Stegostoma tigrinum: one gene and its partner. The protein of the gene in region 1 interacts with the protein of each later gene in a biochemical or structural test. Links are inferred from orthologs where the notes say so. Each region holds a gene or a part of one and is shown on either strand. Other genes may lie near its edges.

What was found.
Region 2: the proteins of flt1 (region 1) and vascular endothelial growth factor A-like are reported together in a solved structure, tested with the Homo sapiens proteins (2 studies listed by BioGRID and IntAct, with this or other methods). The link is inferred for Stegostoma tigrinum from reciprocal best matches to the Homo sapiens genes FLT1 and PGF.

The regions. Positions count from the first base shown.
Region 1 is NC_081359.1:79,184,559-79,193,135, forward strand, and holds the start of flt1 (vascular endothelial growth factor receptor 1), read right to left. Parts: upstream 3,247-8,577; 5' UTR 2,892-3,246; coding exon 2,831-2,891; intron 2,281-2,830; exon of another isoform or gene 2,104-2,280; intron 1-2,103. UniProt on the Homo sapiens protein: Tyrosine-protein kinase that acts as a cell-surface receptor for VEGFA, VEGFB and PGF, and plays an essential role in the development of embryonic vasculature, the regulation of angiogenesis, cell survival, cell migration, macrophage function, chemotaxis, and cancer cell invasion.
Region 2 is NC_081392.1:9,087,545-9,095,544, forward strand, and holds the start of vascular endothelial growth factor A-like, read left to right. Parts: upstream 1-4,371; 5' UTR 4,372-4,657; intron 4,658-5,576; 5' UTR 5,577-5,693; coding exon 5,694-5,759; intron 5,760-8,000. UniProt on the Homo sapiens protein: Growth factor active in angiogenesis and endothelial cell growth, stimulating their proliferation and migration. It binds to the receptor FLT1/VEGFR-1. Isoform PlGF-2 binds NRP1/neuropilin-1 and NRP2/neuropilin-2 in a heparin-dependent manner.

The DNA of each region.
Region 1 (8,577 bases):
GCGTAAATTGAATTCAATTCCACACACATCCAGGCAGATTTTTCTCAGTTCACATTTGCCTCTTTTGCAAATCACTTTAAAAGGTAGAGTCGCAGAGATTTACAACACAGGAAAATGCCCTTTGACAGTCTGAACCTGTCAAAATCACCCTCCTAACTATTCTAATCTCATTTTCTAGCACTTGGCCCATAGCCTTTAATGCCTTGGCATCTAGATATTTCAATGTTATGAGGGTTTCTGCCTGCACCACCCTTACAAACAGTGAGTTCCAGATTCCCACCGCCCTCTGCGTGAAAATGTTCTTCCTCACATTAAATTCTCAAATCTACACCCTCTAGTTCTTGAAGCTTTTACTAGAAGGAACAGCTTCTCCTTATCTATACTATCCAACCGCTCTTAGAGCGATAAAGCCCGGAAACGGACCGGTCCATTCTGGCCGTAAACCCAAACTAAATTAGTCCCACTTGTCTACGCTCGGCCTATGTCCCTCCAAGCATTTCGTCTTCATGTATATGATTTCCAAATGTTCTATCAGATCTTCTCTCAGCCCTTCCCTTCAAAAAGTTCCAACTTGTTGAATTTTTCCTCGTAACTGAAATTAAACATTGGCGGGGATTTTTGGAATTACTGGTCCCATTGTATTAATACCATACCATGGCTTCCCATCTCCTCCTTCCTTGTCATGTCTGAACCAAATAAAATCATTCGGGAAGATGCGCTGAAGATAAAGACATTTGCTGATTTCATATTCTGAATTGATCGCTGTGTTGAAGTGCTATTTTTTGTTTGTGAGGAGTTTAAACTTTATACATTACTGATGAATCCTGTACATTATTATTCTACAAAGGTATTACAACTCAAACTGTCACTTAATAAAGCATGCAGCTTATTGGTGTCACAGAGCTGCTGAAATCATGATTGGTTGTTGCTTTTTAGACTTTAGTTTGATGCGAATATGACCTGGGTCAACTGATAATCTTGCATTCATTCCATTTCCAACCCACTTCGCGCCTTGGGTCATGCACTGAGCGTTCTCTCAATGTGGACTACCTGAGCTGCGCCGGAGCGTTCAACAGCTACAAAAGGAGCTGCGGTAGGTTGGGTTTGAAACGACTGTGAAGACAGAGTGAGGACGTGCTATTGAGCATCTCCAGCCGTAGTGCGGGGCAGAACCGCGCCGCTTCTTCAACCCACCCACAGTGCAACAAAAACTGCGGCCACCCCCAACCCCCATCAAATCCCTCTGGAATCTCCATGCGGAAGGTTTGTGGTTTAATGCGAACATGTCTAATTACATCCAATCTATAGTCTGTTCGGTCAGTAATGTTACTGACAAGTTAAAAAAAGTGAAAATACTCAACAAGTCTGGCATCATGTCTGTTCCATTTCTGTCTTCATTTCAGATTTCCAGCAACTGGAGTATTTTGATTTCGTTTCTACGTTACATTAGAAACGTCAACTGGTGAAGTCTATCTTAAATTTCTGATACAAATAGCGTACTTAACCGAAAATAATCCCACTATTAAGCAATTATAAGTGAGCAATTGCTCGTGTTAGATATTAGGAATTATTAGTTCATCTGCCACACTGTCGAATTACAAGGGTGTGAGCTCCGCTTTATCTGCAATCTCACTTTCAGAACGTCGGAGCTCCGTGTGCAAACCAATGTAGCTGTCCACCTTCCCCAAAAACCGGGCGACTGTGTTCCATTCGCGATGTCACAATTCACAGCGCAAGGGGTTGATTAAAACAGAGATAGTAGTAACTGCAGATGCTGGAGAATCTGAAGTAACAAGGTGTACAGTTGGATGAACACAGCAGGCCAAGCAGCATCAGAGGAGCCGGAAGGCTGACTTTTCGGGCGTAGACCCTTCTTCAGAAATGACCCTAACTCTAACCAGAAGCCTTCTGAAGAAGATTCTAGGCCCGAAACGTCAGCTTTCCTGCTCCTGTGATGCTGCTTGGTCCGCTGAGTTCATCCAGCTCGACACCTTGTTGTCTATGATTGATTAAAACAGTCAGGAGAGAAAAAAAACCTGGAAGTACTGCCTCTACTGGAATCTCAAATCAACGCACGACCTTTTAAAAACGTAGACAGCGAACCTGGAGGTGATGAGAGTCGAGAGAAGGTGCTATGGGTTCCCCACCAGGGAATTCGAGAACAGCAGACCTGAATCACTGCACTGTCTGACGTTATTTTCAAAATCACACCCACTGTCCTTTCGTTGCTCCGCAATAACCAGGAGTGGTTTGTTTTAGCTCAGGTACTGCACCAGTAACGTCGCGCAAGATGTGGGATTTGTCTCTGTTCGCGCACAACCGCTGAGAAAATTTAATTCAGAATTCAGAATGGATTACTGGGAGATGAAGGGCACCTACTGCACTCGTTTATTTCATCGTTATTATAACCGTTACCTTTTTTCGATACAATCCACTAACAGATTTTTCTTTAAATAAAGCTACTGTCTTTCCCCAGAGTAGCTCGTTCGTCATTCCAAAGCTGGTCGACCATCATGTCGCTAACTGGTCCCTTTTCCAGGAGGAGGATACTCACACCTCTAACACTGAGAGCCTTCACTTCCATCAAGTGATGGTTCGCGGGAAACCGCGGGGGCATCCCGCTAAGGATGAGGCAATCAGTTCTCTGTAACTGGTATGAATCAGAATGGATCTTTTCAATAAAGAACAGTTGGTTAAACATTTGGTAAAAGCGCCGGAAGACAAGACAGTCGATTTGCAATACACCAGAAGAAACTACATTTCTTCTTTCTCTTTACAATTGCCATGGTTTTTAGAATTTGTAGAATGTGTAAAATCGAATATTACTTACGCGCTGTAGCTATATTTTCAATCTGATTATAGAGCACAAATGCTATTAAAACGAAAGACATCTTGAAGTGAAGCAAGTGCCGCGTTCCTGTTCAACGCTGTTATGATGAACGCTTCAGTCAATGAAGACGGCTTTCCTCCAAAGGTTAAAAATGTATCGGTTCTCTATGTCAGCCCAATGTTGTCACACACACAGCTCCAGTGTGAAGCCCTCTCTATGTCCAGTACCAACACTGCCCGACTTCACTAAAGTTGTGCCCTTCAGGTCAGCTCTGGTAAACCAGCACAAATTTCACAAATCACCGATGGTATTAACAAATCTCAGGCCGTGAATAATGTATCCAGTACAATTCAGATAGACTACACTCCGGTCATTTCTACTTTGTATTCGGTGGCCCATGCTTTTATACCACTCCCGTGAACTCGCCTCGGAAATGTTACACCCTAGTGACGTCGACAGGAATCTTGGCAGACAAATTGCCTTCCAGAATCTGGACTGTGGTCCTGTCCACGGCCAGTTTGCTATTTCTCTCAGTATGAATTAATTTCAAATTAGTCAGCCAGCTTGGAAACGTTACAAACTGCGGAAATCGCTTAGCTGTTCTGAAGGTTGGTATTGCTAGGCAATTATATTCTCAATTCACAGAAAACAGCGGCCATTATTACAGGAATATTTTATAGCTTTCTCGTTGAATAAATCAAAATAGAACCGTTTCATAAGCGGCGGCGGGGGGGGGGAGATACACCAGAGGCATTATTCTGATTTACCACCCCTACCCACCAGTCCGGCTCCCCTTCCGCCCCAATTCCTAACCATCATCAACCCCCTCCCTCCCCCCCCACCGCGGCGTGTTGTAAAGCAGGACCACCAAAGTGGGTCTGACACAAGCAGTTAATGTGAATAAAAATGAGCTCCTGTATGTCACTTGAGGCTTCCCACGGCTGTCTCCCCCGTCAACTTCCCCCCCCCACCAAAACACACACACAGGCACACACGCCACGCACCCCCGTTTCCAAAACTGGCCAAAACATCAGACAGTTTGTTACCCACACTTAAAACATTGAGAGCTTCCCCAATTCCAGAAATAAGCGATTCCCACCAGACTGCCATTCACTGCAACTAGCATTGCCCACGACTCAAGATTATGCACCAAATCCCTGCATTTGGCATACATATATGCTTTTTTTTGTCCAATGCACCAACAGTTGGATGAGCATTTGACTAAACGCTGTGCGATGAGTCACTGTTTCTAACTTGATGTCGTGATAGATGTCACGGTGGGAGTAGAATGTAAATTCGATTTGAAGAGGTAATGGACACGTTTTGTTGTGTGTTTCCTCATGTGCTTGATTTTCCTGTCGGAACTTTGGCCATTCTCACGGTTGGCAGGAAGGAAACAACCTTATTTGCGTGTTGAGAAGCATTTAAACATTACACAAATGGGGATGGGAGGTCTTGAGGAAGTAGCTGCACATATCGGACATCTAACGCTCAAATAATCAAAAGCTGAATCCGACGTGACACATTTTTACAAAGCGTGTTTTCTGTTCAGAATAAGCCTTTAACCCAGTGGACTGGCCTTGTGCTAATGCAAACCAAAGTAGAAAAGACACTTTTAAGGATCTTGCCACGAAAAGCTGAGCCTGTTTTGCTTTCCCCAGAACACACTCTCAGTGCGTGACTGAAATGATGCCCGCCCTTGCCTTTCCCGCGCTGATGGGATATCGAGCTGGACATCACATGGAGCCTGTGATACTGCGCAAAAAAATACGCAACCAGGCACATTGAACGCTGGGGCCATCTGTCATTTGCTTTAAATTGGGTCTAGATTTTGCTGGGGTTCACCGTCAGAACTTTAAGAACATTAAATAGGTGGTCATAAAATCAAAAGAAGTGATGTGTGACTGCACAACATTTAGCCTCCAAGAAGGAAGCAGACTGGATGTCCACATGCAGGAAAACCTGGATCACATCCAGGCTTGGGCAAATATGTTGCAAATAATAGATAACACAGTGTGGAGCTGGAGGAGCACAGCAGGCCAGGCGACATCAGAGGAGCAGGAAAGTTGACGTTTCGGGCGTAGAGCTGCATTCTACTCCCACCGTGACATCTATCACGACATCAAGTTAGAAACAGTGACTCATCGCACAGTGTTTAGTCAAATGCTCATCCAACTGTTGGTGCATTGGACAAAAAAAAGCATATATGTATGCCAAATGCAGGGATTTGGTGCATAATCTTGAGTCGTGGGCAATGCTGGTTGCAGTGAATGGCAGTCTGGTGGGAATCGCTTATTTCTGAAATTGGGGAAGCTCTCAATGTTTTAAGTGTGGGTAACAAACTGTCTGATGTTTTGGCCAGTTTTGGAAACGGGGGTGCGTGGCGTGTGTGCCTGTGTGTGTGTTTTGGTGGGGGGGGGGAAGTTGACGGGGGAGACAGCCGTGGGAAGCCTCAAGTGACACACAGGAGCTCATTTTTATTCACATTAACTGCTTGTGTCAGACCCACTTTGGTGGTCCTGCTTTACAACACGCCGCGGTGGGGGGGGGGGGGGGGAAAGAGTAGGGAAAAAAGGATCTTTTTTCCAAACAGCACGCAATGCCAAGTCTGATACTATAGGAATCTATGCTTGGTTCCCAGCTATTAACACCATATATTAATGATTTAAATGAGGGAACTAAATGTAAAATCTCCAAGTTTGTAGACTACACATAGCTGGGTGGGAGGGTGGGCTGTGAGAAGGACACCAAGATGTTTCAGTGTGATTTGGACAAGTTGAGTGAGTGGATAAATATGTGGCAAGTGAAGTATAATATAGACAAGTGTGAGGTTGTACACCATGGTAGTAAAACCAGGGAAGCAGACTGATATCTGAATGGCAATGCATTGGCAAAAGGGGATATCAATGAAGACTTGGACGTCCTTGTACACCAGTCACTGAAAGTAAGCATGCACGTGTGGTAGGCAGCATCGATGGTATGTTGGTCTTCATTGCAAGAGGATTCAAATACAAGAGCATGGATATCTTGTTGCAATTGTACAGGGCCTTAGTAAGACCACATCTGGTGCACTGTGTGTAACTTTGGTCTCCTTATCTGAAGAAGGATGTTCTGGCTATGGAGGAAGTTCAACAAAGGCTTACCTGACGGATTGCCAGGATTGAAGACCTCATGCATGAACAAAGACAATATTCACAGAAGTTTAGAAAAATGGTGGGGGGAGCTGGATTTCATAGAAACCCTATAAAATTCAAACACAACTAGAGATGATAAACAGTAGAGAGGATGTTCCTGATGACCAGGAATTCCAGATGCTGGGCTTATAGTCTAAAAATATGAACTACTCATTTAGGACTGAGATAACAAGAAATTTCTTCACCCAGGGAGTGGTGAGCCAGTGGATTTCTCTGGCATAGGAAGTGGTTGAAACAAAAAAAGTGTTTTCAAGGAGTTAGACATGGCACTTAGGGCTAAAGGAATCAAAGGGAATGTGGGAAAGTGGAAACAGCATACTGGGATGGATGAACAGCAATGATTATATTGAATGGTAGAATAGGTTTGAAGGACTGAATGCACAACATCTGCTACTATTTTCTTTGTTTCTATGTTTTCCCAATGCCTTTCTACCATCAAAAAGGCAAATGTAAGGATGTGGTGGAACACTGTCCACTTGCTAGACTCTAGAACACTCAAGAAGCTTGAAAGCATCCAGCACACAGCAGCCCGCTTGATTGGTATTCCATCCATCGCTTTTAACATTCACTCGCTCACTACTGATGCCTAATTGTGGTAGTGTGTACCAACTCCATGATACACTTCTGTAACTCACCAAGCTTCATTTGACAGCACATTTTAACCACCAACCTCTAGCAATTGCAAGGACAAGGGCAGAAGATGCATGGGAAAACCACCACCTGCATGTTCCCATCCAAGTCACACCACATCCTGAGATGGAAATGTACCACCATCTCTCCTCTTTTACTGGGCTAACTTTAGATGTGCCTACAGATCGTGGACTGCAGCAATTCAAGAAAGTGGTTCACCAGCGCCTTCTTCAAAGCCATTTGGGATGGGCAATAAATGAATGCTGACCTGGGTGGTGATGTCCACATTCCCTGAAAGAATGAAAAATAAGGAGCAGGAGAAGCCCAAGTAGTCCCCTGTAGCTGCTCTGCCACTCAATAAGTTCGCGGCTGATCTTGCAGCTTCAACTTCCCCTCATACTCCTTGATTTCCTGTGAGGCAAAAGAAATCTATCTGAATCTTAAATATATTCAATGATGGTACATTTACAACGCTCTGGGAGAGAGGATTCCAAAGATTCATAACCATTTGAATAAAGACATTTGTCCTTATCTAAATCCTAAACAGTCCACTCTTTCCTCTGAAATTGTGTCCTCTTGCTCTGGACTCCCCAACCAGGAGAAACAACCATTCAATCTCTACATTGTTAAGCATTATTTAGACGACACCTTCCAGACCCAAGATCAGTTCTGTCTAGAAGTAAAAGGACAGCAGATACATAGGAACACCATTACTTACAAGTTCCCCTCCAAGCCACTCACCATTCTGACTCGGAAATATGTGGTCTCACTAAAGCCTGGCACAATTAAGCAAGACATTTTAATATGTAACACCTATCTCTATGAGCTCTTGTACATTATCTTTTTATGGGACACCTCATTGAATGCCATATGGAAATTCAAATATACTACATGAACTGGTCCCCATATACTTACATTCTCAAAAAGTAATAAGTCAGTAAAACATTATTTTTCTTTTATAAAACCAGTTGGCTTATTCTCAAACATAAACAGAAGTTGCTGGGAAAACTCAGTAGGTATGGCAGCATCTGTGGAGAGAGCACAGTTAGCATTTCTTCTGTTTGTGTTTCTGATTTCCAACATTTGCAGTCCTTAAAAAAAATCCAAAAGAACGCAGATGCTGTAAGTTAGAAACGATAACAGAATTTGCTGGAGAAGCTCAGCAGGTCCGGCAGCATCTGTGAACAGAAATCAGAGTTAATGTTTCTGCTCTGGTGACCCTTCCTCAGAACTGCTTCTGATACATAGTGCTCTTTTTCTTAAACTTATTTAAATCAAACAATGCTTTTTAAAGATGCATTGTTAAGACTTTCTTAATTATACCACTAGGACTACTCCAGAGACTTGGGAATTTTGGAAAATCATTGCCAGAGCATCCATTATCTCTCTAGCTATTTGTTTTCAAAATGTAGGATGTGAGCAATCAGTCACAGGCATTTTGATTTTAGTCTGATGAGTTTCTTCAGTAATTTTTCTCTTCTGATAATGATTACCTTACTCTTATTCAGCCCCTAGATTACCCCCTTTCTCTGGTATGCAACTTATGAAGACAGACAGAAAATATTTATTCCATGTCTTTGTCGTTTTTTCAAACCCCATGATAATCTATCTTGATTCTGCTTCTAAGCGACAAATGCTTACTTTAGGCTACTGCCTTCATTTTTCTTCCCCTTTAAAAGCTCTTTCACTCGACTTTGATATTCCTAACTAGTTTATATTTTCTTCAATATTCTCATATTCTAGTTCTTCCTTTTCTATTAATTTTTTTGGGGGTTTTTTTCTGCTTTTATAACATTCCCAACCCCAAGACTTATTACCATCCTTTTCAACATCATATGCCTTTTTAACTATCTAATATTATCCTTAACCTTATTGGGAAATCATAGATGGATCTTTCTCATTGAGTTTTGTTTTCAATGGAAT
Region 2 (8,000 bases), on another chromosome or scaffold:
AAATAACCCGCATTTGTGACTTTGATCGAGGGATAAATAATGTCTGGAACTCTGGGAAGACAGCAGGCAGATTTGTGAGCATATGGATTGGAAGCTGGAGTAGGCCATTTGGCCCACCAATACTGCTGTACCATTTAATTCATTCGTGGCTGATCTGATGCTAACCACAGCTGTGCACTCCGACTTTCCTCTGGTAACCCGTAAATCTTTCTCTTATCAATAATCCATCCACTCTGGATCTCCGTCTGAAATGGGTTAGCCCTTGTTTTGAAACAGTGATCCCTAACCCTGGGTGGACCCCACCAGGAGAAACATCCTTCCCACATCCACTTTGCGTGGGGGGTATGGGGCATCGGTTTCGGCCCTTAGCCTAAAGAGATCTTTGGCAAGTCATCACTCCCTAAATCAGTTAGCTCAATTGGTTGGAAGGCTGGCTCACAGCACGGTGCATTGGCAATAGCATGCGTTTGTTTCCCACACCAGCTGAGGTTATCACAAAGGACTCTCCTCAATCTCACCCGAGGTATGGTGACCTGGTTAAACCACCACCTGCTGTCTCTCTAAAGAGGAAGCAGCCCTATGGCCTGATTATCATCATTGATGGTCCCTCACAGACAAGGATGACTCACTACCCCTCTCAGGGTGAGTCTGTAGGCAGCCGTACAGACTGAGGGGGCTACCGCAGGGCTCTGTTACCCTTGGGGCAGAAGGTGGGCACAGGAAGGAGTGAGCAGGGCGTAGGTGTGGCAGCGCGCCCCTTTCCCTGTTTTCCACCCAGCTTCCACTTTCTCCCGACAGTGAGTCTCCAGGAGCTCGGCAACTTCCTGGATGCTCCTCCTCCTCCACTTTGGATCGTCTTGGGACCGATGATTCCCAGGTGCCTGTAGGAATGTTGCACTTCCCCAGTGAGGCCTTGAGGAGGATCACTGAAACACTTCCTCTGTCCCCCTGGGGCCGGCCTGCTGTTTCAGAGCTGGGGGTAGGGCAGCTGCTCAGGGAGTCTCCTGTCGGACACATGGACAGTGTACCCAGCCCATCGCAGCCGGTCAAGGAGGGGGGAGGTCAGGGCCTCAATGCTGGGGTCAAGTCCCACCACCTCCAGAGATGAGTTATAACATCCGGGCTCAGGGTGGCTGGGAAATATCCAAATGCATCTCTGTGACCTTCGGCACTTTTGTCCCTGGGTGCTGTGTGTTAGGTCACCGCAACATTAACTCTGATTTTTTTCTTCACAGATGCTGCCAGACCCACAGAGCTTTTCCAGCAACTTCTGTTTTTGCTTACAGCATCTGCAGTCGTTTTAGTTTTTGTTGTGTGTTAGCGCCTGGCCAAAGACACTGGAGTTGGAGCATCGTTCCTCCCAGCAGATTTGCTGGATCTTGTGTGAGCAGCATTGGTGGGGCTGCTCCAGTGCATTGTGGTGTCTGCTATAGACAGTCTAGATTAGATTCCCTACAGTGTGGAAACAGGCCCTTCGGCCCAACAAGTCCACACTGCCCCTTAGAACATCCCATCCATCCCCCTGTAACCCACACACCCCTGAACACTACGGGACAATTTAGCCTGGCCAATCCACCTAGCCTGCACATCTTTGGGCTGTGGCAGGAAACCAGGGCACCCGGAGGAAACTCACGCAGACACGGAGAATGTGCAAACTCTGGACAGACAGTCACCCAAGGCTGGGTTCGAACCTGGCGCTGTGAGGCTGCAGTGCTAACCACTGAGCCACCGTGCCGCACTAGTGACAGTATGTGTGACTGTGAGAGTGTTTGTGTCTGTGAGTGCATGTGTGTCTGTGAGAGTGTTTATGTGTGACTGTAGGAGTGTGTGTATGTGTCTCTGTCTGTATATGTGCGTGTGTGTGCGTGTCTGTGGAGTTTGTGTGTGACTGTGAGAGTGCTTGTATGCGACTGTGAGAGTTTGTATGTGCCTGTGAGAGTTTGTATATGTGTCTATGTGTATGTGACTGTGAGAGAGTTTCTGTGTGACTGCGAGAGTGCTTGTATGTGACTGTGAGAGTGTTTGTATGTGTGTATGTGTGTGACTGTGAGAGAGTTTCTGTCTGGCTGTGAGAGTTTGTGTGTGCCTGTGACAGTGCTTTTGTGTGTGCGTGACTGTGAGAGTTTGTGTGTGCCTGTGAGTGCGTGTATGTGTCTGTGTGTGTAGTGGGGAGCCTACTGCCTTTCTGATTAAGACCTAGCCTAACTCTACAGTTGCCCAGGTGCCAGCCAACATGATCTGTTTGTTTTCACAGGCCCACATCATTGAATAACAAAACAGCAGGATTTGTTGCCCCCAGGGAGACACCAGAACTAAACAACAGGAAATCTAACCACCCGGTATCACTGATATCAAAGCTCAGGAGTCAAAATACACACTGCACCAGGCTAGTGGATTGCAAATGGTTGATCAGGGACAGCAGGGGAACATGGCAGTCTGCATTTACGATGCATTTTTCATGACCACCAGTCACCTCCCATGTTTCGCAGGTAGTGGAAGGCAAGCCAAATTACACACAGCAAGATCCCGCACTGAGGTAACAGCCAAATACTGTGCTGCCCTCTCTCAGCAACAATTTGCATTTCTAGAGACGGGTCACACAAGTGTTAACACTCGACACTGGGCTGCAAAAGTGCAGACGTCCAAAGATCAAAGAGATGCATTTGGATATTTCATAATCAACCTGAGCACAGACGTTACGACACACCTCTGGAGCTTTTGGGACTTGAACACTGCCTCCTGGCTCAGAGGAAGGGACACTACTACCATGCCACAAGAATCCTCAAGGAAATGTCATTTTTAATCAACAGATTATGACACATCTCCAGGACAGGGGGGAATTTGAACCCAGATCTTCTGGACCAGAGATAGGGACACTAACAGTGCCACAAAAGCCCTCAAGAGGTGGATTTGGAGGAGCTAGAGGGAGTGGCGGAGACGTTGAGGGATTTGGATTTCAGAGTTCAGGGATCTCAGGCAGCCGAAGGCAGAGTGAAGGAAACAGAGATGAGCAAAGAGGCCAGAATTAGAGGAATGCAGAGATCTCAGAGGGCTGTAGGTCACAGAGATAGAGAGGGGCGAGGCCACACAGAGGCGATAAGCATCCTCTCTACAATGTGGAATGCAGGGCTGTCATGGCATGAGAGGAATTTGAAAAACAAAATTCCCTGAGTTTAGGTGTGAGACAGCTCAGTCTCTGTGGATAATGGGGCCAGGCATTCAAACTGCTGATGTGACATTCTGGGACCCAGGCTGAATGCGAAGTGCCTCAGGGCAGTGTTCAGGCCAGAACTTTATGTAAGTCTGGCTGTTCCAGATGACTCCCCACCCCATCTCCAGGGTCCTACTGCCTCTTCCTTCTGGATCATCATTTTCCTATTCCCTTTCTCCAGCTGTCTCTCTCCTCTTCCTCCTGTACTCCCCCTTCCCCATTCCTTCTTCCCACATCGTTGCTCCTCAGATTGCTCCTAATTAGCTGCAGGGATTCAGGAGGAGTGAGTGGAGGTGGGGTTCAATGAGGAGAAGGGGCTTCAGTGCAAAATTGTGGTGGGGTGGCGTAGTTCAAAGGGGGAAGGACTCAGCAAGTGAGGGGGGAGAGGGGTTTCAGTGGGGGGGCTGGGGTCAGTAGGGAGGGAAGATGGGTTTCAGTGGGGGGGTGGGGTCAGTAGGGAGGGGAGAGGGGTTTCAGAAGGAGACAGAGGTCTGTGGGGTGGGGGAAGAGGGGTTTTGGGGGGTCTGTGGAGGAGGGGCAGAGGGGTTTTAGAGGGAGATGGGGGGTCAGTGCGGTGGGGGAGAGTGGTTTTAAAAGGGAGGGGGGTCAGTGGGGAAGGGGGAGTTCAGTGGGAGAGAGTTTAGTGGGGAAGGGGATGCGGGGGGAAGAGAGGCACCTCATTGGGGGAGGGGAGAAGGAGTATGGGGGAGTTCAGTGGGGGAGGAAGGGGCTTCAGTTGCGGGTAGAGGAGATTCACCGGAGGGGTAGGGAGATCGGACAGGCAATCAGTGGGGGAAAGGGGTTGACTGAAGGAGAAGGCAGGTTTGAGGGGTGAATGCAGCACTGGGGAGGTGGGGATTCACATGCGGGGGAAGGGGGAGGTCAGAAACTAAGCTTGGTTTAGAGGACAGGGAGCCCAATGAAGAGGGGAAGATGGCACTGGGTAATGAATAGTGCCCATTCAAGAAGCCGGTAAGAGCTCGATGGAACGAGTGGCCTCCTGTGAAATGGGTGGGAGGGACGGGGAAGGGAATCTGTTCTCTATCCCCAGGACAGGATCGGACTGTCAGGAGTCCGGATGGTTAAAGCAGTTATTTACCCTCTTGTGGAATGAATTGACACTTTCTGATGTAGACACACCCCCGGTGGTTCAGCCCATCCCCTCTCAACCTGGCCCCTCTGTACCGTGGACCCAGCTCTGAGCTCCCACTCTCCACACGCAGTCGCTTTGTTTTGACATGAAATTGGGATTTAAAATCCGGAATCTCTGGGGACTTCTGAGCTCCACTTTCACGCAGGGGATCGGGGACGAGCCGGGATCCCGTGACTCGGGGGCGCGCCTGGGACTTGGCTGTAAATGTGTAAAAGTTTGAAGTGAGAGGAAGCGCAGGGAGAGTGAGAGAGAGCGAGCCTGAGCTGAGGATTGACAGAGCCCCGTGTGCCCAGGTTAGTCACTCACTTAGTTGGCTCTCTCTGTCTGTCATTCACTCTGGTGCCGGCTCTAACTCTCTCTCGCGTTGTACAACATTGCACTCTGATGTCAATGTGCATGCCGGTTTGTCGATAATTAAATCAGGAGTTACTTCTCCCTGTTTATCGCCGGCTGAATCTGTCTGCCTCATCTTTCTGAATATGTGTGAATCTCTCCCTCTCTCACCACTCGAGTCTGTCTCTTTCCCCTTGTCTGTCTGTGTCTCTCATTCTGTTTGCATCCACGCCTCTGTCTTCCTTCCTTTTCTCTGACCCTTTGTCTGTATCTCAATCCTCTCTTTTTCCCTGTCTCTCTCTCTCTCTCTTTCTTTCCCTGTCTCTCTTGTGGCCACGATCTGTGCCCCCATCTCTCCACCCCCACCACCCTCTCTGTGCCCCCATCTCTCCACCCCCACCACCCTCTCTGTGCCCCCATCTCTCTGACCCCCACCACCCTCTCTGTGCCCCCACCTCTCCACCCCCACCACCCTCTCTGTGCCCCCATCTCTCTGACCCCCACCACCCTCTCTGTGCCCCCATCTCTCCACCCCACCCCCTCTGTGCCCCCATCTCTCTGACCCCCACCACCCACTCTGTGCCCCCATCTCTCTGACCCCCACCACCCTCTCTGTGCCCCCATCTCTCCACCCCACCCTCTCTGTGCCCCCATCTCTCCACCCCCACCCCCTCTGTGCCCCCATCTCTCTGACCCCCACCACCACCTCTGTGCCCCTTGCGTCTCTCTGTTCCTGTTTCTTTCCCTGTCTCTCTCTCTCTCTCTCTTTTCTCCACCTTTTCTTTGTGTATTTCTCTCTCTCTCTCTCTCTCTCTGAATCTCCCCTTACTTTTGTACCCTCACACACTCTCTGAAATCAATGTTTGGTTTTGTTCCCAGGACCTTGTCATAGGGGGCTTCAACTCCCCCCACCGAATTGTTGCCTTGTTCCCCACCTCCCCTTTGTATTGGGACATCACATTCCCTGTCGATGTGAGGCACTGGAGGCGTGTAGTCATGTGTTGGACCAGCGTTTTGTTCTATCCAGTAGCTGCTCTGCTGCTGTCCTTACCATTCTGTCAGGTACTGTACTGTGTGGAGATGTGGAGGGGGATTATACAGTCAGATTAATGACTCTTAAACCATAATTAAAGTGGGGGGGGGGTAAACACAGAGAGCGGAAACTCTGGGAATCTGGAAGAGAAAGGTTAAAGTTCTCTGTTCCTGACCAGGGGTTACACCACAACTATTAAGTGTTCTTTTCTCCCTAGAGATTTCTGACCAGACTTTTCTGAATTTCAATGGGTCCATGGTAAATGTGGACCACGACTCTCAGACCAAAAAAAAACCACCCAGTCTCTGACTCATTCCTGACTCATTTGTCTATCGATGTTGTGACTGATGGAGCCACTTATTTCATAATCCTACAGTATATGAGACCTAGTTATTATAAGTGAGCACCACAATGCACAATACAGCCTAGGCACTGGCCATTCAGCCCAATTGCTCCATGCTGTGTCCCTTCACACTGTCTTCAGTCTCCAATCTCCATCAACCTGTCCTGCTATTAGATTACATTAGATTCCCTACAGTGTGGGAATAGGCCCTTCGGCCCAACAAGTCCACACCGCCCACTGAAGCGTCCCACCCAGACCCATCCCCCTATAACCCACACACCTCTGAACACTACGGGCAATTTAGCATGGCCAATCCACCTAGCCTGCACATCTTTGGACTGTGGCAGGAAACCAGAGTACCCAGAGGAAACCCACGCAGACACGGGGAGAATGTGCAAACTCTACACAGACAGTCGCCCGAGGCTGGAACCCGGGTCCCTGGTGCTGTGAGGCTGCAGTGCTAACCACTGAGCCACCGTGCCACCCCAAAGTGTCTCCCTATCAAGGTCCTCCCTCCATACTTACACCTTCATATACATTTGAGGCTGAGGGATAAAGATGCTTGGTGTCAGAAATGAGTATGGGAAGTGAGCAGGAAGATAATTTTTTTTAAGAAGTACAATCATTCATTCAACAGATGTGAACTGCTTCCCTGGAGAAAGTGGTTCAGAGTCAACCACTGGAGGCAGACCCTCAATGCCTTTCAGAAAGGAGTTCCAGGATTTTGATCCAGCGGTTATGAAGGAAAGCATTACATTTCCAAGTCAGGATGGTGGGGAACTCTTGGAGTGGTGTTTCCATGTATCTGCAGGCCTTCTCCTTCTAGATGGCCAAGGTCACGTCCCTGAAAGATGCTGGCATTTTGATCAGTTGTTGCATTGCATCGGCAATGCAATGGCCTAGAGGTATTCTTACTGGACTATTAACCCAGAGACTCGGATAATATTCTGGGGACCTGGGTTGAATCCTGCAGAAGGTGGAATCTGAATTCAGTAGAAATCTGGAATGAAAAGTCTAATGATGACTGTGAATCTGTTGCCAATTGTTGGAAAAACCCACCTGGTTCACTCACGTCCTTTTTAAGGAAGGAAACTGTTATCCTTACCTGGTCTGGCTTACACGTGACTCCAGACTCTTGACTGCTTTGTGGGCAATAAATGCTGGCCTCATCCTGTGAATGAATTGAAAAAACAAATCTTGTAGATAGAGCTGTGACTGAGCGTCAGTGGTGGAGGGAGTGAATGTTGGTAGATATGGTGCCAATCAATCAGGCTGCTTTGTTCTGGATGGTGTCCAGCTTCTTCAGTGTTGTTGGAATTGCACTCATCCAGGCAAGTGGGGAGTATTCCATGACATTCCGGGCTTGTGCCTTAGATAGTGGTATGTTTGGGGAGTCAGGAGGTGAGCTACTTGCTGGAGGATTTCTAACCTATCCTTGTAGCCGCTGTATTTATAGATATTTTCTCATCAACCTGTTCAAATATGTTATGATACACCTCTAGAGCAGATAGGAATTGAATCTATGCCTCCTGGTTCAGAGGTAGGGACACTACCATGACACCACAAATTACCAGCTGCGGTATTTATAGTCCAGTTGAGATTCTGGTCAATAATTTGCAGGATGTTGATATTGAGGGACCTGGTGATGGAAATGCCCCTGAAAGTCACTGGGGTGAGGGTTAGTTTCTCTTAGATTCTTTCAGCTGAAGACTGAAGGTTGCAATGGATGGGGTTGAGGCTGACGATAAGCTGCGATCATATTGAATGGCACTCGGGATTGTATGGTCTACTCTTATTTCTTAGGTTGTATATTCTAACTACTCTCAAGGCAAAGAAACTTCTTCAGAAAATCATAGAACCCTATAGTGTGGAAGTAGGCCGTTCGGCTCTTCAAAGAGCATCCCTCCAAAACACCCCCCCCCCCCCC